4 linked regions of the Astyanax mexicanus genome follow. The protein of the gene in region 2 interacts with the protein of the main gene of each other region in a pairwise test. Links are inferred from orthologs where the notes say so. Each region holds a gene or a part of one and is shown on either strand. Other genes may lie near its edges.

Region 1 (7,145 bases), on a different chromosome or scaffold from region 2:
CCAGCAGTAACACTCCAGTTCAGACTTCCAGCTCCGACCCGGTTAGAGATCTCTCTCTTTCTCTCTCTGCACACACACACATGAACACACACACAGACAGGTGCTTTCCTGCCCTCCTGCTCCTCATCCCTTAGATTTTTATCCTCATCAAATTAGAAGCATCAAGTTAGAACTCAGAAATCCTCACAACCAATTTTAGAATCCAATTTATCATGCATTCTTTATTCCAGCACCCTACGTTGATTTTAATCCCCCCTCAAACATACAAGTATATACTATTATTTTAATTGACACCACTAATATACAGTAATTGCGTTTTATTTACATTTAATTATCCACTATAAAAATGTACGTCTGAAGAAAAACAAATGTGATTATTCGTATTTAATCACAGAATTTTGTTGTGATTAATCAGATTCAATTTCTTAATCGATTGACACCCTTAATTATTACTACACTCATTCAGATACTGTCTGAAACACTCACCAACTTCACAAGCTTCCCCACCAGGGAGCGCTGTAAACCCTCAGAATGCTGCTTCACCTCAGTCACACTGGACCTCTTGTTATTTCTCATTCTAGGACGGGACTTCTCCCATGATGAGACACTGGATGTCCCAACCCAAGTGGAGCTGCTGATCAAGCAAGCCACATCACACGAGAACCTGTGCCAATGTTACATTGGATGGTATGTAGTTGTCCATCCTCAAAAACACGTTTTAGAAGGACATTTGTCCAATTTAACCTGAGTAAATGATGTATGTAATTATGTACTTATGTACTATTTATATGGGTCACTCAGTGATTAATAATGAATTAATTTTATCAATAATAATTGTTTCTTCTTTTTTCTTTCCTCAGGTGTCCGTTTTGGTAGAGCTTCACTCAAGCTTTGTTTTGCTGTCTTTGTTCTTTGCTGATTCTCTATGTTCTACCGCTGCCATGTTTGAGTCCGCTGAATACGCTTAAGAAAAGAGATCTGTTGCATGAAAAGACATTTTAAAGTATGTCTGACTTTTATTAATTTAATAATGTTATACATAGAATTCTGCACAAAGTGGAGCAGAATACTTGATTGAAGGTGGTGTACATCTTTGCCAATAAATTTTAGAAAAGCCTGTTTTTGTTGCTTTTTTGAACACCTCTTGTGATGAATGTTGTTTTGCCTTGTATGTGACTGTAAGTAACTGTGTGCTTATAATATCCTGATGTGAGTTTTCTGGGGTGTCATATTTCTGTTATGAGTGGATTTCAAAAGAGTTTGAGCTCTTTATGTGTCCATTGTTTGATTTCATGTATGCAGTAATTTCTTCAACTTGGAACTGGTGGGTCTCTTTACATTGTGCAGCACAGGATAGAATTATTGTACGTGGGAGCAGGTCTACATATGCATGCACAAAAATCCTGTGAATTAAAAAATAGTCCATGTAAAATCATATAAATAACATAATAATAACCATGCATTAATAAAATAAGTGAAAAAGTGTAAATAACCAGTCAGAGAAAAAAAGTAACCAGTCACATGAATAACAAAGGAATTAGGCATCATCAGACTTTCTATATTTAAAAGACATGTTGTATCTATTTTTACACAAGTTAGAATTTATGTGAAGTGTATGTGCTATACAAAACGTGTTTGTTAGTGTTACATTGTGCTAATCTAAACGGCAAAACATGAGCAAGCTAGTTCATGCTTAACTTTGATATGAGCACAAAACTCATTATTTGAAAGTGCTTACATCTCCCTCCTCAGGTGACTGGTCACAGACAGCAGGAACAGATCCCTCCCTCAGTCGAAGTCTACTGACTAATCCTATTGTCTGAGTTTCTCAACCAAAATAAAAAAGAAATGGAGTTTCATATGGAGTGTTTATATGGGTAGTCAAGACTTAAGTGGAAATGCTTAAGCATGCAAAAAGTGAGTTTTGCATAGTATGTCCCTTTTAAATGTTTATCAAGAATAAAAGGAGTCTAACAATACATTTAAAGTGAACAGATGCCCACTACCCATATTAATTTAAAAGAAAATTGGTTATTTGTGAAGTAAGTTTTACTGCTGGTTGGACCATGATATAATTTTTAAATAATGAATGCAAATGGAAACTTTGTTGCCATGCTCTTTTAAAAAAGTAAATATCCTTAAAAGGTCACCTGAAAGTTCTTCATATCTTTCCAAAGAAAAATCCATTGAGATCATAGAACTGCCTTCGAAATGATTATTTCCCCAGATGCATCTGTACACTTTTCAGCATAATGACAAGCTGTACCCATTACAAAGGCTTGGCTGCAAAAGAAGAGGGTACAGTTATAAGACTGTTCTTCCTGCAGTCCTGAGCTGTTCCCACTAATGCGCAGACATTTTTAAATAAACAAAGTAACACTTCAAAATCGCTCAGTATTTTTGGTGCCAACTTTTATTTTAAGCGTTGTAAAAAGGAATTGTAATATATATATATATATATATATATATATATATATATATATATATATATATATACACACACAGCTGAGGTGGAAGAATCTGTCGACGGGACAACTGTAAGTCGTGCACTCCACAAATCTGGCCTTTATTGAAGAGTGGCAAGAAGAAAGCCACTGCTGAAAGAAAGACATAAAAAGTGCTGTCTAAACAGCAAACGTGTGGAAGAAGGTTCTGTTGTCAGGTGAGACAAAAGTTCAACTTTTTTGGCCTAAATATAAAGTGATTTGTGTGGCAGAAAAGTAACACTGCTCATCATTCTGAACACACCATCCCCAAAGTGAAACGTGGTGGCAGCATCAGCTGGGGCTAAATACAGGGCAGTCCTGGAAGAAAACCTGGAGGAGGCTGTAAAAGATTTGAGGCTGGGAAGAAGATTCAAGATAGTGATTCTAAACATACAGCCATAGCTCCATTGGAATATTTAAATGAAAGAATATTGATGTGTTGGAATAAGCCAGTTAAAGTCCTCACCTTAATACCACTGAGCTTCTGTGGCAAGACATGAAAATTGCTGTTCACAGACGCTCTCCATCCAACCTGGCTGGCTAGTATTCACCTGGCCGCAAGACAGACAACAGTTAGAAATGTTTTAAAATAAAGATTTTTTTTAAAAACTAATAACAGTCTTTGCAATGTCATATGCTACTTTACAACATGTGTAATTCTCTGCTAAGTGCAGATTAGCCACTGACCTAGTCTTAGAATCTCTGTATAACGGGAAATCCACCGGAGATCCTATGTAAATCCTATATTTACACACAGAGATGGGTAGTTCAGGTCCAGAAAGTAAAACAATTTTTTAATTTTTATTTTAACTAGTTTACATAACTGTTTTAAACATACACCTAGCTATCTCAATTGTACTTCGCTGGTGGTGTTCTATAGACAAATTCTAACCATTTGTTCCTTGGCTCTGAATTACTGGGTAAAGCATATAACACTGATGTGTTATTTGCACAAATAACACAGGAACAAACTGCCATGCTGTTCCTAGCACTGTTAGCTCCTATTTGATAAGACTGCATTGCTGCCTAGCATCAGCACTACCTGTGGGAGGTCGTGAGCCAAGGTGGGCAAGGCCATGAATACCAATTCACTGATTGATGTAGACACGGTACTTTTCCTGATCAACTTGTTTTTCTGAATATTTTCTTTTACTAGCTACTGCAGACAATGGAGGTTGAGGAAGAGTTTCATGTGCAGCATCATATACAACTCAGAGAGACCTACAGTATTGCACAAAGAACAAGAAATGTGGATTTTAGCAGAAGAACACCATTAAATTCTAAATGACTTAATTCATTTATTGCTGAGATATATAATAGAAACCCTCAGCCATACATGAAGATACATAGAAAATGAAAGTGGGTCATTTTTGTCCCATTTGTAAAATGAAATTAAAATACTGAACTATTTTCTAAAAGAGGGTTTATAGTTAATGCTTCTAAAGCTTCATGTTGGCCACTGCTGATCATTTTAATAATTGATGTGTCGATTCTTTTTTTTTATATCTATCGATTATTAATCGGAGAAAAAAAGAAAAACATATAAAATATGTGTAGTGTTTTAACTAATCAAGGGTCAGGGGAGCAGCGCGGTGCGGTTCAGCAGGTGGCGGTAGAGAGCGCGCGGTCTCTCTGAGACTCCCGAGAAGAAGACGGGTCTCTGCGCGTGCTCCGCTCCGCGCTGCTCTCGCGGGGTGTACTGGGTAGTGATGGCTGCGCCCGTGAGCGGAGAGAGCGGCTCTGGAGCCCGCGGTGACTCCGGCAGCGGAGCCCCGGGGGCGGAGAGCGGGGAGTTCTGCCCGGGGTTTAGAGATGTGGACGCGTTTGTGAAGGTGAGTAAGGCGCTCCGGTCCCCGGGGTTAACGAGCAGAGCCGCGGGTCTCCGCGCTGTGAGATAAACACGCAGCGGCAGCGTGGAGCTCCTCCTGCAGCAGCAGCAACGCTGGACTCGTGGTTCTGTTTTCATTAGCCGGTTAGCTTAGCGCTGTTAAATCTCTGACGGGTTAGCGGCTCCTGTTCTCTAATGAACTCTAACGGTGTTTTACAGCACGGACTGGGCACGGTGGTCTCCGCCACCAAGGCGGCCGGGGGTCTCCCTCAGCCCGGAGACGAGTTCGACTTCTACAGGAGTTTTCCTGGGTTTCAGGATTTCTGTGCTGTTCAGGGAGAGCGACTCTTACACTGGTGAGAGAGAGAAGACGGGCTTTAAACACTTAAATACATGTATTTATTTAATCTTACGTTACTGTCAATATTGTTATTGCTGATTCTGACTTAAAGCCATAGTATTGACTCAAGCTATAGACTGTATTACAAACCAAAAATCACATATAGCACTGTTTTATACTAGTAAACGCTCTCGTTTCTGCTCTTAGCTATGAAAAAAAAAAACTTTACTATTAGTAACATCAGATCTAACTGCAGGTCTGTAAACACATTCTGACTAGTCATATTACAAATAAAACAACATGTCCTTATCTATAATTACATTTTAGAAGTTAAAAAACTGTAGTCCCAAATACAGCTCTAGATAAAAAATTTGGATACATCAACTCATGAAGTTTCTAAGTGACATATAGTGAACATCCTGAAAGCATCACTACAAGACAGTGTGTGAATCTGTGTTTATTCGTTCATCTCACATTATTTACACAAAGTAGAAGTGCTGGAGATAAAATTGCTGGCGATATCCTTTTAAAGGAGTTTGTGTATTTTCTGCGTTTACAGGTCTGTTCCAAACATTTCAACGATTTTAAACGCTATAATTAAATGTTTTACATTCCATATAACTGGTTCTGACCTGATTTCTAGAACAGAATGTTAATAATAGTAGTTAATAATAGATTCAATTTTGAAAGTGAAAATGTCAATACTTAAAACAGCAGAATGTCATACAGTTCACTTTCTGCAGTACTATTAACATGATACTGATTATTTAATTATTTGAACACTATTTCTGTTTAATTCTAGGACTTAGACTTTAGGATTGTTGTTTTTACAGATAAAATATGTATGGCCTCTTGGTTAAATAGGAGGAAATGTAATAAAAGTAAAGCATGCCGTTCTAGGCACATATTTCTGAACTTGTAAAAACTCTCATATAATTGTATTGCACCAAATGGTTCTAAATACACTGCATGGTGCCTAAGACACAGTTTCATCACAGTGCTGAGAGCATTTTGGCTCTAAAACCTGTTTTTGAAATCAAATATCATTAAACAAATGTAACAGATATGTGCAAAATTTTCTGTGACAAATAATAATAGTCCCCAGTGACAAGGTATTGGTTCAGGCCTGTTCTCACACATTCAGATATTTTTAAAAACAGTGAAACCTGCAGTGCTATAAGCACACATTTCTTGATGAGAGCAGTTTACCTTTACTGGTTGGAGAGTCTGTTTGTGTTGTTTTGGTCTGTCAACTGAAATGTAAAAAATAAAAAGATCTGTGGGTTTTAAAGCCTAGTTTCAGAAGTGTTCACAGATGTAATCATTTGTGCTATACATACGGTAATATCCCTAATATCCAGCTAACACTACAAGGCTGGATGCAGCAGGAATGGCATTTCAGCTAGTTTTAGTTTATCACCATATTTATCATTGTTGTTATTCACTAATGATAATTAATCCAAAGAAGTGTCACTGGTAACCTCGCTCAGCTTGTCTGGGATGATATTTTCAATAAGTACACCAGTATAGGCTGTATAAACCAGATTTTCATTTTTAATAGACCATAAAAGACCACCACTAATGTGGGCATTGCATGGTTGGACCTTAGGTTACAGGGGGACATGTGTTCGGAGTGGGTTTGTACATATGTTTTCTGGGACCCATTTGGGCTTCAAAAATAGGCCCTATTCTTACATCCTATTTTAACCTCACATTGGTCCCATCTAGGATTTACGTGCAGTGTTATATCCAAATGGGGCCCAACTTTAACCCCTCCTGGTCCCATCACTGTCCCTGGTGGGGCTCATTACTGACCGACATAGAACCCATGGACAAAATCTTTTGGTTCCCTTACAGGCACCACATGGTCATGTTATCTCAGCAGTTACAAGGTTGAATTTTTACAAGGTAAACACAGTCTGGGCCGGTAATGGCAGCCTTCTGACGGAGGTTCCTGAACCTGAATTGTCCCAGTCAGCCTACTGATCGATCGGTAGACAATACAGTCAGTGGTATAAATCTAATATTATATGGGGTCTTCAACCTAAATATTCGTGCATGTGTGCATCTCTTTTACATGATTTTCAGTTGCTTTGATGTCTCATTTTGTTTTATAATGTTCTGCATTGTTCAGTATGAGTCAGCTGATGAAGCACCACGGCTGCAGATCACACATAAATGACAAAAACAAATTGACGGGACTGGAGGAGCGCTTTGATCTGGTCGTTGAGTCCAATGATGTCATCCTGGAGAAAGTGGTAGGAATGAATGCCCAATTTCTAAACTACATGTTTTAATTTAACACGTGTACACGGTTTACATGTGCCAGCTAGAGCTGGACGTTATAAACCATGATAAATTTTATCGTATCGATAAAGTGAACCAAGTGACCAAAAGTGACCAAGTGAACATTTAATTACAGGGAGTTTAGAAAATCCTGTTTAATTGCATGATGCGCTACATTAAAGTAATTGAAATGCAGTTTTAAGAA
Region 2 (7,118 bases):
TTCGATGTGCGAGACCATGACATAATTTCGATCGATTTCAATGAAATATTGAAATCGTGACACCCCTAAAAAAATACAGATAAGAAAGATATAGTAATAAACAGCTTACATCTGGACTCCTCGTTGTAGGACGGCACTACTACAGACAGCTCTCTTGAATGGGGGTCAAACAGACTAGGGAATGGCTCCTTGTTTCCTGAAGCTGTCAGAAAATATTTCTCCTGCTCTGCACGCGTCTGGTCCACCATGCTGGCTGTAACGTGGGCAATTACAATAACCTAAAGAAGAGGAGACAAATGAGATAGCTGAACCCAGCAGACACACTTCAGCAGAGCTTCAGCAAAGTATTACAAGATCTATATTAAGCTGCAGGGCTGGAGTTGAATAAAACTCCCCTAATAATAACCAGAAATGGGTGGAGTAGCCAGCGTATTGTTCCTTCAGTAATATAATGACAGGTGTTGAGTTCCCAACAGAACTGCAGTTAAAACAGCTTCATGAAAAATAAGTATACCATGGTTTCTTCTGAAATCTAGGGTAGTTAAATCTGAGATGACCCTGCTTTTGCTGGAATAACTGTCTCTAAACTCCAGATAATGCTTTTCATTTGATTTTAAGAAACCGCAGAAAAGATTTTATTTAGTCACAAAAGCATCATTAAATACAGTATGTATTTAATTTAATTACCCCACCTCATTTCACTCTTTTGCACATCTGTGTCAGCAAGGGTGGCAGCCTAAAGCAGCTGCATATATTTACTAGAAAGGGCGTCTCAAACATTTGGACATACAGATCCCTGTGTACAGCTCCCAAATCTTCTGGATTAATACAAAAGCCACTGTCTGACGAATTCCTGGAGGATTATAAAGGATTTCACCAAACCAAGACGCTGCCAGTAGTAGAAAACATGAAAACCAGGAACAGCCAGTTCTGAGGCGGCTTCTTCCCCCAGGCCATCAGGCTGCTGAACAGCCTGTAATAAAGTGTACCAGTCCACAGCCTATCACAGCTCATCTCACCTCTCTCACTGCTGCTCACCACAGACTCACTCTACACCCTGCACTTTACCTACAGTCCCACCAATACTTCTCCATCATCCAGAATACATACATCTGGAAATTTTTATCATGTTTTACTACACCCAGTAAATTTTTCACCAGAGTAATTGCATCAGCAGAGGCAGATTTTGCTATTGAAGTGCAAACAAGACTTTTTCACACTCTGTAATGAATGGATAGTTCGGTCTGTATTCTTTAAGTTCGATATGATTATAGTGGATACGATAAGAAGAAATATATCAATATATTGTCTAGCTTTACACTAAAAATAGAGGATCCTTCATCAATACAGTAAGGTGAGATTCATTCTCCTGAGATACAGCTCTGGCAAAAATTAAGAGAGCACTCCAGTTTCTGAATCAATTTCTCTGATTTTGCTATTTATAGGTTTATGTTTGAGTAAAATGAACATTGTTGTTTTATTCTATAAACTACAGACAACATTTCTCCCAAATTCCAAATAAAAATATTCTCATTTAGAGCACTTATTTACAGAAAATGAGAAATGACTGAAAAAACAAAAAAAAGATGCAGAACTTTCAGACCTCAAATAATGCAAAGAAAACAAGTTCATATTCATAAAGTTTTAAGAGTTCAGATTTTTTTTTTTTTTGTGGAAAACCCCTAGTTTCTTATAACAGTTTTCATGCATCTTGGCATCATGTTCTCATCCTCCACCAGTCTTACACACTGCTTTTGGATAACTTTATGCTGCTTTACTCCTGGTGCAAAATTCAAACAAGCAGTTCAGTTTGGTGGTTTGATGGTTTGTGATCATCCATCTTCCTCTTGATTATATTCCAGAGGAATATATTTCAATTTGTTAATATTAAAGAAAATCAATTCTAAGTGGTCTCTTAATTTTTTCCTGAGGTTATATCAGTCTAAATTGACTAAAAACAACAACTTTACAACGGGGATTGAGAAAAAACATAACTTTAATTGTAGAAAGATTTGTTTAGATCAGGACATTGACTAAATATAAATAAATATCTCAGCCAGAGTAAAAAATAGAGATCAGTGATCCAGGCAGAGGAGCTCCAGGCCCTCAGATTCTGTAAAATTTTGACAGAAACACCAAAACATTAAACTCACCAGGAGTAAGAGGAGCAGGAGCAGAGCTGCAGCGACCTGGAGGATCTGACACACACACTGATCCATCATCATCACCATCATCCTCTTCCTCTCACAGCCCAGAGACACCCCGCAACTACAGCCCGCTCATAGGGGGGAGTGAACAGGAGTTATAACCGGTATTAAAACGCCATGGCTGAAGTTCTTCCACCTCACAGTGAAACAGCACTGCGGAAATGACCCGCCGCTGCTCCACATCATCATTACAGCACACCGCCACAGCTGCTGCACCCCGAGCATGCGCACTTCACACCGCCATGATACAGGAGAAATCACCCCCCACCGATAGAGGGAGCCCGCGAGCGAGTCCTCAATGACTGGGAGTGAGTGAAGCTAAAAGGATAAAAACTAGCTGTATCTGTGTATCAGTGTCTAAAACTTGTTTAAAAATTATAACAATGTAATTCTCATAAAGAAATTTAAACTTAACTGTATAATAATAATTATTATTATTATTATTATTATTATTTTTACAGCAATTACTGTAGAAGTGTTCTTTAAGCACCACACTTATGTAACGTTAGACGTCCTAAAGTATGCATCATTTCTTTGTACTTAAAAGTAGTTTATTCTAATTTTACAACTCAAGTTCTGAAAGTAAATGTATTATATGTTATGCAGCTATTTATTACAGAAAGCAGTGAAAAGGTTTATTATCATATTGTAGGCAGTAGGGGTGGGCAATATTATATCATATACAATATATCGTGACACAGAAATATCATGATATTAAAAATGCATATCGTGATAATAGGGCTGTTCTGTCTTAAAAGTAGTCTATTATTTACTGTGAAGCTTTAGGTGTATTTATTGTATAATTGTTTTAGTTTGCAGTTTATATGCATGCACTAAATATTCTGCAATATTTTTGCTGCATTATATTATTTTATGCTATATTATTTATTTTGCCACATTATGATTATACTGTTATACTATTATACTATATTCCTGAAATGAATTAATTATTTTAGTTTTCCTATATCGCCAAGTATATCGTTATCGCAAAAATACCCTGAAATATCGTGATATTATTTTAGAGCCATATCACCCACCCCTAGTAGGCAGAAAGCACGAGGAAGCAGAGTAAAAGGCAGAACCGGAGCATCGAAGTCTTCTGATATGAAGATGACACTGCCATCTCCTCTTGTCGTTTATCACTGTCTCTTTGCTGTGAAGATGCTTGAAGTTAAGGAAGAAGACACCGCAGACACTGCCTTACGTGTAATAGACAATATCAACAATATCTTCAAGGCGGTCCAAGGCTAGGCCAGCCCTGAAGAGAGAAGTTGTTCAATTCTGATGTTCCTGCTCTCTCTTCTCCCCAGTTTTGGGGACCTGCTTAAATAGGGTATTATAGTATACATCTGTAAACACTGTAAACATGCTCTAGACATACACAGCCATAGGAGGAGTCTACCTAGAAGAATGGTCACATACTTTAGTGAAGAGAAATAAAGAGAATATATATATATATAAGCTGAAAATGTAGAGGTAACGCAGTTGAACACAATAGACAGTGACACCAAGTTGATAAAGTGCATAAAGTGAGGATAACTGAAAAAGCAAATAGACAGTTGTATAATTACTTTAGCAGTGCAAAAGATACGTAAACAGTAGATGAGTGAACTAGTGAATAAACAAGTTCTGCAAAATAGGGTAGAACTATGAAAATAGTTTAAATGGTTTTGTGTTAAGGAAATGAGAAACGTGAACAGTATTAAAAGAAAAACACTGATAAACTCTGATAAATTCTGATTTTGCTCAGCTGCTCCATATGAACACATTAATTTTGGAATCACTCTAGAGGGCCCTGTGGAAGAGACTCTGAAGTGGCCCCTCTCCTCTCTACAGGCTCTCTGATTACAGCACACGCCTCCAGACCGGCCCCGGTCCGGGGGAGGATTCTCAGCGCGCCCCCTGCTGGACTGGAAGACCCGCGTCCCCTTCTTCTGACGTCATCCGCCCTCTTCACGTGGTGTTTTCCTCAGCATCATGGCGGCGGGGTTCAAGTAAGTGGAGCGGACTGGAACTTACAGTTATATCAGCAGCAGCGGCGTGCTTTATTTATATAGTTATATCAGCAGAGTGCTGAATTTCTGTTAATATTACAGCTTAGGCTAAATATATAGAGAGTATATCTGGAGTATCACAGCTGACTGATCTCTCTTAATGTTGTACACGAGCTAATCTGTCCCTGTACTTGTTATTGTACTGCTCTTTTACTAAATAAACCAGATAGTGTTAATTATAAAACTGTCTAAATAAATTTAATGTGTTTTATCAGAACTGCAGAGCCTCTGGAGTATCACAGGAGCTTCTTGGTAAGTTTAACTACTTTATTTACTTCAGTACATCTACATGTACTCTACAAGACATGATCCAGTGTAGACACGTCCAGTTTTCTTTTTAAATCAGAGGTTATTAATAAAGATCTGTCCACAGTTTGCTGTACTAAACCGACTCTACTCTACTAAAAAAGGCCTGAGGTTGCAGTAAACAGGAACATAGCTGTGAGGAATTGATTGCATTCAGACATAACAATGTGCAGCATGTGAGACGTTTCAGGAACAGATTCGTTCACATTACAGTCAATATATCTCAGCCTCCCCCAGACTAAACTTCAGTTTGTTCTGGCCAAATCGTTATGCCTTAAGTGGTGTACATCACTATGATCACCCTGACCTAGGATGATGACTGGTCTTAACTTTTTTGAGGAGACTGCTCTAATCTTAAAACAGATGCCATATATCTCCTATACCATTTATATCTCAGATAGCCCATACAATACTGATTTAAATGTTTACTTTTCATTCAGAGAAGAGGTCTTGTCAGACCATAAAGTTTTAACCATGGTTCCATATGAGTCACTCAGAAGAATTAACCAAATATCATAAAATAAAACTGGAAAACATAGTGATCATGTTAGATATTGATTAAGATAAAATACTGATTTTATCAGTACTTTACTTTTGGAGATGTGGTGTATTTCGCTGTAGATTCACACAGTCCTGCTTCTCTTCATATAGAAAGAAAACTGCAGGCCAGATGGCAGAGAACTGGGAGAGTTCAGACCCACAACGTTAAATATAGGTAAGCTGTTGCGCATTGTTATAAATGTATGACTTGTATTCTGTTTTGGTGTATAAAGTGGATTGCAAAAGTATTCATACCCCTTGAACTTTTTTACATTTCACCGTAAAACTACACACTTTTTTTTATTAAGATTTTAAATGATAGACTGAAGAGAGACTATAAAGGAGATTCACCTTCCAGCAAGACAATGACCCCAAACATACAGCCAGAGCTACAGTGGAATTATTTAAATCAAAGAATATTCATGTGTTAGAATGGCCCAGTCAAAGTCCTGACCTAAATACTGCTGTTCACAAACGCTTTTCATCCAACCTGACTGATCTTCAGCTGTTTTACAAAGAAAAATGGGTAAAAATCTCAGTCTCTAGATGTGCAAAGCTCAAAGCTGGTCAAGACATGCCCAAAAGAAAGGTGGTGGCTCCACTAAGTATTGATAGGGGGGGCTGAATACTTGCATGTCACTTTTTTGCAGATGTCTTTTTGATTAAAATTTTAAAAACTATGTATTAATTTTATTACACTTCAGTTATTTGCTACTGTGTGGTTCAATCACTTAAAACCTCAATAATATACATTTATGTGTGAAAAGGTTGTGATGAATGTAAGATCTTAACTTTACATCCTGAAAATCCTTTATATGCAGGTTCGATTGGAACAGCTGATGGTTCAGCAATGGTGAAAATTGGAAACACTACAGTGATCTGTGGCATAAAAGCAGTAAGCAGCATCCCGCACTCCCTCAAATACTCACATATTGATCACAAATAAACATAACAAACACTTCAAAACTTCATGTTTTAAAACAGGAACTAGCCGCGCCGCCCTCAGATGCTCCTGATAAAGGATATATTGGTATGTTTGAGTGAGTTGTTATAATAATTATTAAAGGCAATCGTCTGTGAGGGTAACTGAAGTCTGACTGGCTCTTTCGTGTCTCAGTTCCGAATGTAGACCTGCCTCCACTCTGCTCGTCCAGATTTCGGCCGGGGCCACCAGGAGAGCAGGCGCAGGCCGCCAGCCAGTTCATCGCTGACGTCATTGATGGGTGAGATGAGTTTCTTTGTGTCAGTGACTCTAATTGGGACTTTGTGGTCAGATTCTTAAAGCTTTGTGAAGGTTAAAAACTATACTAATGGTTTTATGACACCATTTTCTCCCCAATTTACGCGGCCAATTACCCAACCCACTCATTAGGACTCCCCCCTATCACTAGTGATGACCCAACACACCAGGAGGGTGAAGACTAACACATGCTTCCTCTGATACATGTGAAGTCAGACACCGCTTCTTTTCGAGCTGCTGCTGATGATGTAGCATTAACGAGCAGCATCACAGCGCTAACACTCGGAGGAAAGCACAGCGACTCGGATCTGATACATCAGCTCACAGACGCCCTGTGCTGCAGACATCACCCTAGGAGTGATGTGGGGAGAGAGCGCCATCTACTGTACTGTACCCACCCGGAGGGAGCAGGGCCAATTGTGCTCCCTCTCAGCGCCGGCAGCTTGATGGTAAAGCTGCATGAGTGGGGGTTCGAACCCACGACCTCCCGCTCATAGTGGCAGCGCTTTAGACCGCTGGACCACTTGGCACCCCTTCCCAGTGAGTTTTGGAGAAAGTTTTTGGATGCAAAACACTAAAACTTAAAGGGAAGGTGGAACATCAGCAGTGAAGTCATTACCAATTAACACAGAGGTTCACTTACTTTTTCTAGCCTGCACAGTGGATGTTTACTCTGTGTGCTAAGGCTACGTTCACATTATAAGCCACACTGCTGAAATCAGATTTTCTGCTCAGACTGAATTTGGCTCTTTTGACAGTTCACATTCACTG
Region 3 (7,576 bases), on a different chromosome or scaffold from region 2:
CTAAATAGTACTATGAATATAAATATAACTATGATATATGGTATCACTGGAGATCAGGTACTCCATAATGGAAATTCAGTATATGGGGCATTCCTTGACCACAGTGAACAGTAAACAGTGTAAATGCATGTATGACCCATTTACAACACTGTAAATGCTCACAGTTGTGAGGTGTTACATTGTGAATGAAGCTAAATACTGGCCAGTGTGCTCATAGCAACGCAACATGAATTATCAGGGTCTGAGTAAAGCCTGATTGTGGCTGTCGAATGGATGTGACATTCTAAAATTCATTCTGAATTTTCCAAATTAAAAACCTTTGGAATATAATCTAGAGGAAGATGGATGATTACAAGCTTTCAAACCAAGCTGAACTGGCATAAAGTTATCCAAAAGCAGTGCGTAAGACTGGTGGAGGAGAAGATGCCAAGATGCATGAAAATTGTGATTAAAAACCAGGGTTATTCCACCAAATATTGATTTCTGAACTTAAAACTTAAAACCTTATGAATATGAACTTGTTTTCTTTGCATTATTTGAGGTCTGGAAGCTCTGTCTTTTTTATATTTCAGTCATTTCTCATTTTCTGCAAATAAATGATCTTATGATTGACAGGTAGAACCTGGAATGATTCTCCAACTGTCCTACAGGAGTTATAGAGGTGCTGAGTTCTTGTTAACTGCTTTTCATTTACTCTTAGCTCCAAACCTGTCCTAAACCACCTGTGCTGGGTTTTTATGTCAGCTGTTGGTGAGGGCTAAACACTTTTTGTCTACTATCTAACTGCACATGTGTTCCTTCAAACTTTTGACTGTCACTGTGATGCAGTTTCTTAGAAAGGGATAATGCCTTGGGATAAGGCCTTGGGCTACTACACAGCATTTTTAACTAAGATTTTCCATTGAAAGGCAAATATAATCTGCGACTAGGCTTAATCATTGTCCAGAAATCCAAAACCCAAAAGGTTCCAGTGCTGTTACCCTCTCGTGCTGGAGTCTCACCCCTGACAAATATACATGTAAATAAATAATGCTGTACAAACAGAGATATTTATCCTAATAAGTAATCTGACAGTTGTGTTATTGAGAGAGATTATCATATAATGTCCTGGTTTACTGAGTGCTGGACTGGGAGATTCAGCATTGGTCAGCGTGACAATATGACAGCATAACCCTCCTCACCTTGGTTTGAACGCATGGTTCACACACAACAGCCCTTGTGTATGTTCTGCCATAGAGAGAATTATGGGTCAATTAAGCCTCGGAGAGAGAGATGACCATCAACAACCTATGTTCCACCCCCCATCCTGCGAGAAGTTGACCTTTGTGATTTTTCTTGCAAGGAGAGCCGACTCACTTTGTAGGTGTTTGTGTGGGAGCACTTTGTGTGTACTTGGTGTGCGTATTATGGCGCGCTAAATGGTCGCTCGTGTGTAGTGATGCTTGCATGACCCATCCTGTCACTCTGGGGCATATGGAGCCGACCGCCCATTTCCCTCGGGAATTAACACCATGCTGATTTACTACCAGTGAAGGGCAGTAATCACTAAAGGAGGCCAAATTAGTCTCCAATTTCCCCAGTGTGTGTGTGTGTTATGAGTTGGGAGACTAAAAACTGAAGGTCAAGAGAAGGAAAATTGTGTGTGTCTGTGTGTATTCAAATATCTGGACAGAAGATTTCAGGAACAGTCATGAGGCTTTGAGCCATTAGTTTCACAGCCTCATGTAATTTGCCATATTACCTTTTATATACATTTTTTCTACCTGAATCTAACAGCCTAATCCCTGCTAAAATGTACAGCACCCTTCTTTCGAAAATAAGCTCATGTGATGTGTGGTCATTTGCTCTCGTGATGCTGTCCGTGTTTGATTTACAGCCCCATATATTTCATGGTTGTTCTACAGCGAGAACCACTCATCTTCAGTATTAAAACCAATACATCTCAAGGGTGCGATTTTTATCGACGTTTCCCATTACCAGCTCTTCACGTTTATAGAGGAAGCCATAAATACCCAGTCCTGTTTAAAATGTTGATGGTTCTCTCTGGTATGAAGAGATCAATTGTCAAACGTGTTGAGTTAGTATCATAAAGGCAGGTGGGTCAGATGCACTGAGAAATAGGCTCACTAACTTTCAGCAGAGGGCTTGGGTAGCATGCATTAACGTCATATAAGATATGTTTAAGGGACAAAAAGGTCACAGAATCAGTTAAAGCATGCCACATTATTTTATTCAGGTTTAAAATGTAATAGAAATAATATTAGCTAATAGTAACTGTGCACTTTTTTAAATAAAATTAAACATTAAAAGGTTCATCACTAAGTGTCTGACGCCTAGACACTTTCAGAAATATGAAATGTCCATAGACAAAATTGGTTGGAATTTTCATAGTTTTGGTAAAATTCATCTGTGCTTTGCACTGATCTTTTTCGAACAATTTGTCCACGCAGACTATCAGTTAATTATCTGTGCAGGATATCGGCTATAACTACAGGGTTTGTGGTACTTTGTGTTGGGAAGTAGTGCAATTTGTGTCAATGTTGAGGCCTTGGAAAACAGTCTCTCCCATGTCTTCTTCTTCCTCATGAATGTGGGATGAAGTTGATGGTGCAGCTGTGAATCTAGTCTATTTATTTCACATTTTTTCATGTAAAAGTGCATCACATAGACATTAGGAGGGTGCCATATTCAAAAATCTAAAAGGTGATGTGTGACCATTTAATAACAGTGTTAGCATATTAGAGGAGGTCACTAGGAACAGCTCAGTGAGGGACATTCACTCACTAAGACCTTCATCAGTGGAGGCATCCTTGGGAAGAGGCTTAGAAATTTGATGAAAGGCACTTTAAGGGAGAAAAGAAAATACAATATGGTAAGAGTTAGCGCTACCATATTTTTTTCAGATTTTCATATGTAGAAGCAATGCTTAAAAACACCCCAAGCTAACGTTTATGTTTAGAACACACTTACTATTTGCAGGTTAAGCACTGAAATTTAGACAGCCACACATGATGCTTTAAAGATGTGCATGGATTCTACAAGACATGACTGGTCCAGTCTGGTTATATGATGCACAGAGTATGCCTAGCTAAATTGGGAGAAAAATGGGAGAAAATTAGAAATAAAATTAATTAAAAAAAAAAAAATCTTTCACGGAGCCCCTAGGGTGACATCATTAAAAAAAATCGTGGCCATGACTTATTAAGGCATGGAAACAAGATAATTAAGTTGTGGGGACCACTTTATTAACCCTTTATGGCATGATTGTTATCTAAATAAAAATAAATGTGTTTAAAAAAGGTTCCAAAAGAAAAGGAATCTCCTGAAATGTGGTATGTTACGTTTTTTCTTCCCAAAATGATAAATCGTGCCATAAAAGGTTAAGGCTTGGAAACAAGAAAATTAAGTCCTGAAGATAGAAGTCGTCCCTAAGACGACTTACCACATCTTAAAAAGTCATGGCCATTGTGGGAAATAAGTAGCTAAACCATAAGTAAATAATGGGCATGGGCCCTTTACATGTGTATGTATATCCTATAACCATATTGTTAAGGCTAAGCTAAGCTTTTTGTCAGTCAATCTCAGTGCGTGTTACTCAGGCAGTAAACCCTTTCAGGGAGGCGATTAAAGCCGTGTTTTCTCTCGTTTCTATCTGCTGAGCCGCCGGCACAGCTCCAGGACTGCACACGGTAGCCGCCGATTAATCTCCTGCCCGACAAATGCGATCACATTCCTTGACAGACGGGCTGCGCTGAGCGGGGGGGTCGGTAGTAGTGGAGCCCGCAGCCAATCAGCACGTGGGTTAAAAGCTTCCCTGTGAGAGAAGAGCAGAGTTGCCAGGTTCGTGGTTTTCCCGCGAAATTGTGCTTGTTTGAAAATCCAGTCGCAGGTAAAAAAAAAAATTAAGTTGTGGCGGGGTGCGTTTCTTTGGGGCTACTTAAAAAAATTACCGCGGCCGTGGTACCATTGAATTTTTATTTATTTTTGACATTTATTATGCAGCCTTTCCAATTTTAATTTTATTTTTGTCACATATGACTCATGCTTAAGTGAAAAAATAAATTGCAAATGAAGTGATTTCATATTGTTTTTAATTTTGCCATACTATTTTGAGACATAGTATTTAAACAAAAAAAATTTGCATTTTCATTTTAATGTTTTCGTTTCAGTTTTATTTTTTTCCAGGATTTACCTCCAATACATAACGACATAAAGGACAGCATTAAAAGGAGAGCGGGAGAAAAAGAAAGAGTAAAAAAAAAGAGGATTCAGGAGGGGCAAGGAATAAAAAGTATTTTTTTGTGCTAATTATGTTAACTATTAAATGTTCTTGACTGAGATATAAAATTGTTATAAAAGAAATAATAAAACACTAACGTTACAATATTATTCATCACTTTAAGATAAGTAGCAATACTGGTAATACATTTCTTATAAACAAAATATTAAGTCGTACACTCATAGTTGTTTTGCCATTTGCTTCGAACGTGTGACAGACATATTTTGGGCTAATTTAAGCTTTTGAAGGGCGGGTTTTAGAATGACTTTGGGCTGGATATTTTTGTTGAACCTGGCAACCCTGCTTCCCTGTGAGAGGAGAGAAACACAGACAGGCAGCAGGCAGGCTGATTCTGTCCTCAGCCCCACACCGCGGCTCATTTTCCCCCCTGAATCGACCTGCTCAGCTCCTCCAGAAGAGTTTTCATGCTTGTGAGAAAACGAGGACATATTACAGGTGCGTAACGCTGTTTTTCCTCAGTGTGAACCGGCTGAAGCCCCTGAGATCAGGGCTATTCAGCTGCCTGGCTCCTGTTGTGAGAAAAGACTTGCGGTTGGTAGTCCAGGTCCGGAAGTTAAAAATCCGTTACAGGATTTCATTTCTGCTGCATGGACTGCTCAGCTGCAGCAGCGCAGTCCAGGCAGTAGGAGTGAAAGCCTGAAACGGATTTTTACTTTCCGGACCTGGACTACCAACCTCTAGCACAGCCACTATATAAGACTAGATATTCATCATTTCTGTACAACTTGTTCTTTTTTAAATTACAACAGTTTAGCACCTTTATTTTCGCTGTTTTCTTCATATACTAATTCTGAAATGGGAAAAATTGAGCAAAATCTATAAAACCTAGCTAGCTAAGTAGCCATTATTATATAACAGCTTTATTCAGCTAATTGAACAACAGGCTTGATCAAATCTCATAATTTAGGTATCTCAGGTTACCTAGCTAGATTAGTTCATTAGCGTTATATAACATTTGGTGACAGCATAGTGTGATAAATTAGCCTAATAAACCTCATAACTAGGTTAAATCATCTCAGCTATTGAAAAAAAAAAAAATTAAACCAAACACAAACGTTTTGGTGACTGCTGAGTGTCTTTCCAAGGATCAACACATCCAAACAAAATACTACTGGTCTAGTGTCAATGAACTATTGTGAAATTATCAACTAATAATATAAAAAAGGTAGTAGCCAGTTAATTTATCAGCTAGCTAGCTTAGCCAGTGACCAAAAAAAATAAGAGACCACTTTCTGAACCAGTTTCTCTGATTTTACTATTTATAGGTACATGTTTGAGAAAATGAGTTGTCGTTTTATTCTACAAACTACGGACAACATTTCTTTCAAATTCCAAATAAACATATTGTCATTTAGAGCATTTATTTGCAGAAAATGAGAAATGGCTGAAATAACAAAAAGGATGCAGAGCTTTCAGACCTCAAATAATACAAAGAAAACAAGTTTATATTCATAAAGTTTTGAGAGTTCAGAAATCAATATTCGGTTGGATAACGCTGGTTTTTAATCACAGTTTTTATGCATCTTGGCATGTTCTCCTCCACCAGTCTTACAAACTGCTTTTGGATAACTTTATGCCACTTCTGGTGCAAAAATTCAAGAAGTTCAGTTTGGTTTGATGGCTTGTGATCATCCATCTTCCTCTTGATTATATTCCACAGGTTTTCAGTTTGGTAAAATCAAAGAAACTCCTAATTTTAAGTGTTCTCTTTTTATATCTGTATGATAGGCAGGTGTTTCTGTACTGAGGAGTGTTTATTTTTGCAGGTTGGTGGAGGTATGACACTGACGAGGGGCTCCTTTACTTATTCAACTGGAGAAGAGTACAGTGGGGAATGGAAGGAAGGCAAGTTATTACTGTATCTATATTAAAATCATTTTTTGTCTATGTAACTGCCATTTTACTGGCATTCACATTACAGTGGCAGCTGCAACATTGCCTTTTTAAATCTGTTTAATTCTGTATATTTATACAGAATTAATATATCTACTGATTGCTGCAACAATTAGTTGATATAATCAAATGTCCATTGTCGACTAATCATTAATTTGCAGCACAACACACAGTTTACACTCAACTCTGCCTGTGTCTCCAAAAATGCCTAAACACAAAATATTATGTACTTCCTCACTAAATTTCAGCACTGTCTAGATTTAAAGGACAATGTTCTGGACATTTTTAATCCCATGTTTAGTTGTTTCTATCGATTTTAAGCAAAGACAGAGAAATCTTGAAACAGGAGCCGTACTCACTCAAGCGGAGATGGAGAATAGCATGGCAGAAATAATCCTTGACTAATTGACTAAATCGAAAAATAATCGACAGATTAATCGACTATCAAAATAATCATTAGTTGCAGCCCTACTCATTACTAAGGCTAGGTTTCTCCGATTAAATAATCCAACATCCATAGAAAACATATTGATCTATGAATTTTGCCTATTTTGGAAAAAAAATGTCTGGTGTGTGCTCTTATTACTAAGGCACTTATCCTTGTGCAGTTTGTGCAGCATTCTCATACATGGGATACATGTAATTATGCTGTTATTTATGTAAATAATGATGTTGGATTATAAAAGTATGTATTTAGAAGTTGCAAAGTTTTTGTGATGTTATCATATTAATACGGTGAGGACACCTAATTGGAATTAGCAATTTAACTGATACGTAATAGTTAAATGTAGGGCTGCAGCTATCGATTATTTTAGTAATCAAGTACTATACTGAAAAATCGATTCAATTAATCGAGTAATCGGATAAACCATATTTGCTTGCCCAAAAAGCAATTTAAAAAAGTGAAACAAGAAAGAAATTTCATTTAATAATGAATGACCAGTTGGTTTAATTTTTAAATTCACAACATACATTTCCACATTGCAAACACAAATAGAAATAAATAAAACGCAAAATAGACATAAAACTTTTAATACTTACATTTATTGTAAGTATTAAATATAGGGAATAAATCAATAATAGAGGCATAAACATGGATTGGATAAGCTCGCTGCATTCTTTTCCCACAAAGTCAGTGGACAGGGGATGTTTTCATATTAAGCAACACTGATGGAAATCTTATTGATTTGTTATAAGTTAAGTTTACCTGCTCTCTTCACTCCAAAAACCTCCGTCTTCTCCACCTGCGTCCTGTGCGTGGGTGACGTAACGCTTAGCGCTTTTTCACATTAAAAGTCAGCGCTAAATTCCGTGCTTTGAGTTTTAAAATTAAATAAACGATTCCTCGAGGCACAGAAAATTAATCAATCAATTTTTTAAATC
Region 4 (7,553 bases), on a different chromosome or scaffold from region 2:
ATTGAAAGAAACTAACAGGGGTTATGATCCAATATATTGATATATTGTGTAACGTTAAGCAAGAGAAAATATACAAAAAACTTTCCCTCATATACAAAACATCCAAAAAAAAAAAAAGAATTTAACTTTATATCCAATCAGAACAGTGGGGTCAAAACACAGAGTACAACACTGCCCTCTAGTGGACAGAGTTTAAGCACAATACAAAATGAACCAGAGTATTGAGAGTACTGTTCAGAGTGTAATAAAATAAGTACTGGTATATAAAATGAAATAGTAAATGAATATAAAAACTTAACTGTTGTAGGGATTGTTTGGTCGTACCTCAGCACAATAGCCTAATTTCTGATTTGGCGTTTCTATGAAATTGGTTGTTATAAAAAGCACATCTTCTCCCTGCAGAAATGGAAAAATACAGTGTACAGTTTTTAATGTTTATAATAAATAGAAATGTTTCCATCTGTAATACAACGTTATAATTATGAGCTGATGATGTGACTGGTAAAGGAGGAACATATCCTCAGACCAGCTCTCACCTGCTGTGGGATTACGTAGTCCTCTGGCCCCCAGAGTCGAGGTCCAGTTCCTGAGGAGTTGGTGAGTAAAACCCCTTTAACTTTGGTGATGACTGAACTCTGAATAGATTCCTCAGTCTCCTGGTAGCCTTTCTTCGTCAGGAACACCCAGCTACACACACACACAGTTGTGAACACAGTTTGGAATCACTGTTTAACCTGTTTATTGATAATAAGTAGATTATTTAAATCAATAATTCTTTTTTTTTTGGGATGGTCAAAACAAAAGTGATCTACATGATGGTGCCCAAAGGCAACATTCTTTTTTTTATTTGATATAGTATGAATATAAACAGCCAATTTTGCTTATTTACATAATCTAACTCATATTAACAACGGCTTAACAACCACCTGGTAAACCACAACAACAGCACAGCACCCACTTAGCAACCACCTAGAGCACATTAGAGGTATTTCATTTTGGTATGCTGTACGTAAGCAATTGTAAATAAGATAATAAAGATCCAGAACTGTATTATACAATTGTAATGTAAATATATATTTAATTTTACCACACACACACACACACAGCTCTATCACAGGCTATAGATAACTCCAGCTGATCTTACCCGATGATATATCCCAGCAGAGAGAGCTGAATCACTCTGTACAGAATTCCCACTTTCTTATTCTTAGCAATAACATATTTCTCCGTCTTATAGTCGAAGGCAGAGAGCAGCACAGCCCTGAGGTCCACAGCCATGTCTCTGCTGTGAGTCTGTGCTGAGTGTCAGTAGCAGTGATGGGCCGGTCGCATACGATCCGGCTCTAAGAATCGACTCTTTGAAGTGAACTAAGGGAGTCGACTCCTGATGATAAACAGACTTGTCACACCTGATTGGTCTTTCCTTGCAGAATCTGTGACATGGATGCTTTCTTAACTAAATGTTTTAAACATTTTAATTCATATTATTTTAAGTGATGTTCTGTATATTCTGTGGTGTTTCGTTGTGCAAATTAAATAAAATACACAAACTGTGCAGCTTGATTTAAGGAGTGTCAGTGTGTCTTTGCTATCGTAACGATGGGAGAAGTACATAAAAAGTTCATAAAATAAAGCTTTTAAATGTGTTAATAGTAATAATAATAATAATAGTAATAATAATAATAATTATTATTATTATTATTATTATTATTATTATTATAACTAATTTTGTCATATTATTATTATTATTATTATTATTGTTATTATTATTTTTATTATTATGATCGGGAGATCGCTTGTTTGAATCCTGGACATGCAGCTTGCCATCAGCTGCCGGAGCCCTGAGTGAGCACAATTGGCCTTGCTCTCTCTGGGTGGCTACATGGCGCTTTTTCCACTCATCAAAATACAGAGCTGATGTACCAGAACCGAGTCTCTGTGCTTTCCTCCAAACATGCTGGCTACTCGGCATCAGCAGCAGTTTGAAAAGAGCCGGTGGATGACTTCCCATGTCAGAGGAGGCATGTGCTAGTCTTTACCCTCCTGGTGTCACATGTGATGGGTGGGACAATCGGCCTAGCTAAATTGATAAAAAATAAATGGAAGGAAATTAGGCATCTTTAAAAACATGTGTGTGTGTGTGTTTGAGATCCTGGCATGTTTCTACAGGTTTTGTTGATTATCTTGAGCCACAGGGATTCACAGGAGCAGAGCAGAGCTCCAGTCAAGCTCACAGTGGGAGAGTCACATCCTCTCTGTCTTTAACTGCTCACCATTCCCCTGGTGATCCCTGGTGAACTCGTCTGCCTCTGGAGCTTTAAAATATGAGTAAACACAACCGTAGTGCAAATAACACAGGCCTGTTTATAATACAGATAAGTCTGATAAGACTTGATTAAAGTTTATCTAAGGCTGTTAGAATCAGGATGAGTATTTTATATTAATTACAATTTTCCTTTGTCAGTTTCAGTTATTTTATTAGAGGTTCAAAATGTTAACCACTTCTCTAGAAAATGTTTTTTTTTTTCCTACATTGTAAATATTCTGGTGTGTTTAACACTTTTTTGTGTACTAAATAATTTCGCATGTTTTTCTTCACAGTTTGGATTACTTTAGTACGGAGCCCGGGAGGGGCCGTGGATAAAAAAAACAATTAAATCGAGTGAACGATGTAGCAGTTCGTGCTCACGTTTTCTTTAATTCGAGTGAACGATTTGCAATTCGTGCTCACGATTTCTTTAATTCGTGCTCACGATTTCTGTAATTCGTGCGCACGATTTCTGTAATTCGAGTGAACGATTTCTGTAATTCGTGCTCACGTTTTTATGCAATAAGACAATAAGCTGGGAGGGAAAGGAGCATTTTCTCTCTTGATCTGTTACAGGGGTGCAGTGATGATAATCAGTTATCTACCTTTATAACCTGCTGATATTAATGCACTAGTGTTACAGTTAGATGTACAGTACAGTGAGCAGATTTTGCCTGGTGGTGGAATCTCTACAGCGCGTGGGGGAGAGCCGTCCGCGGCACGGGTTCCCTGGCCGCGAGCGCAGGTCTTCACGGAGCTTATTTACCAACAATATAGACAAATATAGTCAATTCCAGTCATGATTAAAGGAAACAAACATTACTAATGCAGGGTAACTGTGTGTTATTAAAACCAGATCAAAACAAAGTTATAATGCAATGTGGAACTGTTTATAATTTCTTATTTTCAACAATAGTATAACGTAAAGAAGTATAATTATATAAATATACAGCTATAAGACTTAGGTCCAAATGTACACTGTAAAAGTTAATAAAGATAATACAAAATTAATGCAAGGTGTGACAGTTGTCTATGAATGGCTCATATAAGAGCTGCTTTAAATATGTAACACTATATAAAATCAAAATAGCTGGTCTAAAATACTATTAATACAATGTATTAAGATATTTAGTAAATAGGCATTTCATATAATAATTTGGATCAATTTGATAATTTATTCCAATATGTTTCCTAAAATAATTAAGTTTCTATATCTGATGAAATGTCCTGAATATCTGCTTATTCTCAAATCACAGTGTCCTGCCCAGAAACATGCCACAAGCTTCAAATAAAAAAAATATAATAATTATAAACTTCTTAAATGTATATTTTCTGAATTATGTGTTTATTTATTATACAAATTATTAAAATATAGATTAAATCTATCATAAAAGTAATAATGATGTAACCAGATTTAAGAAGGTGTGCATTTCCTTGGAGGCTGGCTGAATGTTATTTAGAAATTAATAAACACATTTGCACATTGCATTATAACTTTGTTTTGATCTGGTTTTAATAACACACAGTTGTCCTGCATCAGTAAAATGTTTGTTTCCTTTATTCATGACTGGAATTGACTGTATTTGTCTACATTGTTGGTAAATAAGCTCCGTGAAGACCTGCGCGCGCGGCAGGTGTCTGGCGGCGGGGGAACCGATGCCGCGGACGGCTCTCCCCCACGCGCTGTAGAGATTCCACCACCAGGCAAAATCTGCTCACTGTACTGTACATCTAACTGTAACACTAGTGCATTAATAACAGCAGGTTATAAAGGTAGATAACTGATTATCATTACTGCACCCCTGTAACAGATCAAGAGAGAAAATGCTCCTTTCCCTCCGAGCTTATTGTCTTATTGCATAAAAACGTGAGCACGAATTACAGAAATCGTTCACTCGAATTACAGAAATCGTGCGCACGAATTACAGAAATCGTGAGCACGAATTAAAGAAATCGTGAGCACGAATTGCAAATCGTTCACTCGAATTAAAGAAAACGTGAGCACGAACTGCTACATCGTTCACTCGATTTAATTGTTTTTTTTATCCACGGCCCCTCCCGGGCTCCGTACTTTAGTAATAATCAACAAACCACTTAATTAAAAGGTCCTGTAGATCAGAGAGTGTTCCCGGGAGCGGTAAGCTGATTGGACCTGTAGATCAGAGAGTGTCCCCGGGAGCGGTGCTCTGATTGGACCTGTAGATCAGAGAGTGTCCCGGGGAGCGGTGTTCTGATTGGACCTGTTTGCCGAGTGAGGTAGTACGGGTGCTGAGAGGGCTCAGACGCGGAGCTGCGGTTTGGCGCATGTGAGTGGAGAGAGGAGCGGAGCAGAAAACGGGACTTTTATTATTATATTCTATATTTTATTATAAGAGATTTTTTTCCGGGGAGCTGAGGTGAGTATGAGCTCGGTGCTGCAGGGCTGTGCTGATCTGTAATAGTGCAGTTTAATAGCTGGATCTGTGGTTCTGCAGGATCTGCTGGAGGTACAGAAGGGAAGTATGGCTCAGTATGAGGAGGTGAAAGTCCGCGGGTATGAGGAGTTCTGTAAAACTGTGTCTGACCGAGCAGGAAAAGATATATTCGCTTATTTCAGCGGAGACAAAGATCAGCAGGGGCAGAGCTGGTGCCCTGACTGTGTTAAAGGTGGGCTTATCATTTAAATATCTATCTAAGCTAATAATACTATTATCATTGGCTCATTCTGTGAACATATACAAGTGTATCTATTATCATTTCAGTAATTCAGTTCAAAATGTGAAACTTATATATTATAAAGATGTATTAACTTACACACAGACTGAGATTACAGCCAATAAAACCTCAAAAATCAGTGTAAATTAGAATATTATATAAGATCAAACTTTTGGCAGTGTAGGCCAAGTCCTGCTGGAAAATGAAATCTGCATCTCCATAAAAGTTGTCAGAAGAGAGAAGCATGAAGTGCTGTAAGATTGTCTGGAAAAGCACTGCACTGACTTTGGACTTGATATAATACAGTGGATCATCACCAGCAGATGACATGACTCTCCAAACCATCACTGATTATGGAAACTTCACACTAGACCTCAAGAAGCTTGGACTGTGTGTCTCTTCCAAATAAAATGAAAAATATACTGATGGTTAATGATGACTTGGAGAGCCATGTCATCTGCTGGTGTTGGTCAACTGTGTTATATAAAGATAGTCCAAAGTTTCATATTATGGCAAGAACTACTTAACAAAGTAAAGGAAGAATTCTCAAGTGCAGTCGCAAAGACCTACAAAAATGTTATAATGATGAAACTGGCTCTCATAAGGACCGCCCTAGGAAAGAAACACTGCATAGTTATTAGCACCCCAGATGAGAACACCTAAATCCTAATTCCTTATATGTTCCTTTATAGTCTGGGTCACTTCACTCTTCATTTACATTGTTAAAACATTGAATGAGAACATGTGTCCAAACGTTTGATTGATACTGTTAATATAATATACTAATTATATAAGAAGTGTATGTGCTTTTCTACAATTATAACTTCAATAATGTACATGACTATTAAAATATAGGGTTCATATGACTCATGTAATACATTTTGCCACTATATTATAACATTATATCACTTATTGAATTATTATGTTTTGTGGAAGTCAGATATTGCGAGCTAGTCTCGTAGTACAGTAGTTATCTGTATCAGTATTTTTCATTGCTGTCTCAAGCCGAGCTTTAAACAGGATCAGGCATGAAGCGTGTGGTAATACTGGTATCCCATCTGACAGTAAATTGACACTTGCAAAACTGAAACCCATTCACCCCCCCCCCCCCCCCCCTATATATCAGCCTTGAGTTTATGCTTTTATGTAAAATCTATTTTAAAGTCAAGCAATTTTACGATGATTTAACCAATAGAAATGCTCCAAAATTACTTAAATTTCTGCTTAATGTTACAGCGTTTTTTCCCTTCTACTTTAAAATTTTTTGTGGGACAGCAGAAGGCCATTTATAATGAATATTAAAGCACATCATTATAAAACCTCAAATTATTTTGAACCACCATCCACTCTGAATGTTTTGACACTTTGACCCCCGGCTGTAAACAGGACCTGTGTCTACAAGCAGGTTAAAGATTATGAGAGATCCTGTTTAAAGCTAAACAGAAAAAGAGAAATCTTCCATGCATCATTGTGAAGCACTTCAGACGCAGAAGATGAGTGTAGTTCCACTTATTTTCTTTTCTTCTTTGCTTCAGCTGAGCCAGTGGTCCGTGGGGAGATGAATCATCTTCCTGAAGGTTCCGTCTTCATTTACTGCCAAGTGGGAGATCGGCCTTAGTAGGTGTTCTTGTTTGTGTTGTTGTGAATTCAATCCTTTTAATGAAGTTTAATGAATAGTGCACACTTTTTTTAATTTATTTACCCTTTATTTACCCAGTTTGCCAATTTGGTTGCACAGTATACATTGGTGTAAAAAGTATTTGCCCCTTTGATTTTTTTTTGCCATTTTCTTTGGATTATCAAAAAACTTCAATATCAGACAAAGATTGAACTTTAATATGAGAAAAATGGTTGTGTCACCCTTGGTAGCACAACCATTTTTCTCATATTAAAGTTCAATCTTTGTCTGATATTGAAGTTTTTTGATAATCCAAAGGTTATTGGGTTTAGGAGGCAAATACTTTTTCACACAGGGCTAGATTGGTTTGGATAGTTTTTTCCTTTAATAATTAAAAGTAAAAATAAGTGCTTTTTATGTTTACTCTGGTTTAATATTAAAATTTGTTGGCAACTGTAATTGCAATTAAAACAAAGAACTCTGAAAACAAAAATTGAACACTGTTTTGAGTCACTGACTTCTTCTGTTTTTCAGCTGGAAGGACCCAAACAATGAGTTTAAGAAAACTCTCAAACTCACTGGGGTCCCAACTCTGCTGCGCTATGGCACGGTAATGATCTGTTAATGTATTTTTATTGTTTTCTGTGATACTCCAATAAAAAATCTATCATATTTAATTTTATTGGGATCTAATGTTTGGCTAAAGTCTAATTAAAGTTTTTGTTTTGCCGCTGTGGTGTGTCTACATGAAACTAACGCTACATTATTAATGATTGGTGTATGGTATCGTGTAATTTGCAGCCACAGAAGCTGGTGGAGGAACAGTGTTTCAAAGCAGACCTGGTTCGGATGATGTTCACTGAAGATTAACGTCTCAGACGGCAATATTTTTATATAAATGCAAACTCTAAAATGCATCTCAAGATATCTGAT

What was found.
Region 1: the proteins of exosc8 (region 2) and exosc10 interact in binary tests that used the Homo sapiens proteins (3 or more experiments, as listed by UniProt). The link is inferred for Astyanax mexicanus from reciprocal best matches to the Homo sapiens genes EXOSC8 and EXOSC10.
Region 3: the proteins of exosc8 (region 2) and morn4 interact in binary tests that used the Homo sapiens proteins (3 or more experiments, as listed by UniProt). The two-hybrid records come from large-scale screens. The link is inferred for Astyanax mexicanus from reciprocal best matches to the Homo sapiens genes EXOSC8 and MORN4.
Region 4: the proteins of exosc8 (region 2) and txndc17 interact in binary tests that used the Homo sapiens proteins (3 or more experiments, as listed by UniProt). The two-hybrid records come from large-scale screens. The link is inferred for Astyanax mexicanus from reciprocal best matches to the Homo sapiens genes EXOSC8 and TXNDC17.

Annotation. Positions count from the first base shown.
Region 1 is NC_064419.1:17,930,812-17,937,956, forward strand, and holds the start of exosc10 (exosome component 10), read left to right. Parts: upstream 1-4,130; 5' UTR 4,131-4,195; coding exon 4,196-4,318; intron 4,319-4,533; coding exon 4,534-4,670; intron 4,671-6,788; coding exon 6,789-6,912; intron 6,913-7,145. Other genes in the region: serine/threonine-protein kinase mTOR, read left to right, coding at 582-687, 861-876. UniProt on the Homo sapiens protein: Catalytic component of the RNA exosome complex which has 3'->5' exoribonuclease activity and participates in a multitude of cellular RNA processing and degradation events.
Region 2 is NC_064427.1:39,561,289-39,568,406, forward strand, and holds the start of exosc8 (exosome complex component RRP43), read left to right. Parts: upstream 1-4,114; 5' UTR 4,115-4,184; coding exon 4,185-4,201; intron 4,202-4,476; coding exon 4,477-4,513; intron 4,514-5,218; coding exon 5,219-5,282; intron 5,283-5,928; coding exon 5,929-6,002; intron 6,003-6,091; coding exon 6,092-6,137; intron 6,138-6,224; coding exon 6,225-6,330; intron 6,331-7,118. Other genes in the region: alg5 (dolichyl-phosphate beta-glucosyltransferase), read right to left, coding at 110-278, 2,154-2,234. UniProt on the Homo sapiens protein: Non-catalytic component of the RNA exosome complex which has 3'->5' exoribonuclease activity and participates in a multitude of cellular RNA processing and degradation events.
Region 3 is NC_064414.1:31,950,955-31,958,530, forward strand, and holds the start of morn4 (MORN repeat-containing protein 4), read left to right. Parts: upstream 1-4,576; 5' UTR 4,577-4,735; intron 4,736-6,066; 5' UTR 6,067-6,078; coding exon 6,079-6,145; intron 6,146-7,576. UniProt on the Homo sapiens protein: Plays a role in promoting axonal degeneration following neuronal injury by toxic insult or trauma.
Region 4 is NC_064425.1:13,474,220-13,481,772, reverse strand, and holds the start of txndc17 (thioredoxin domain-containing protein 17), read left to right. Parts: upstream 1-4,553; 5' UTR 4,554-4,704; intron 4,705-4,782; 5' UTR 4,783-4,809; coding exon 4,810-4,954; intron 4,955-6,537; coding exon 6,538-6,619; intron 6,620-7,154; coding exon 7,155-7,230; intron 7,231-7,421; coding exon 7,422-7,490; 3' UTR 7,491-7,553. Other genes in the region: p2rx8 (purinergic receptor P2X, ligand-gated ion channel, 8), read right to left, coding at 325-396, 537-687, 1,145-1,278. UniProt on the Homo sapiens protein: Disulfide reductase. May participate in various redox reactions through the reversible oxidation of its active center dithiol to a disulfide and catalyze dithiol-disulfide exchange reactions. Modulates TNF-alpha signaling and NF-kappa-B activation.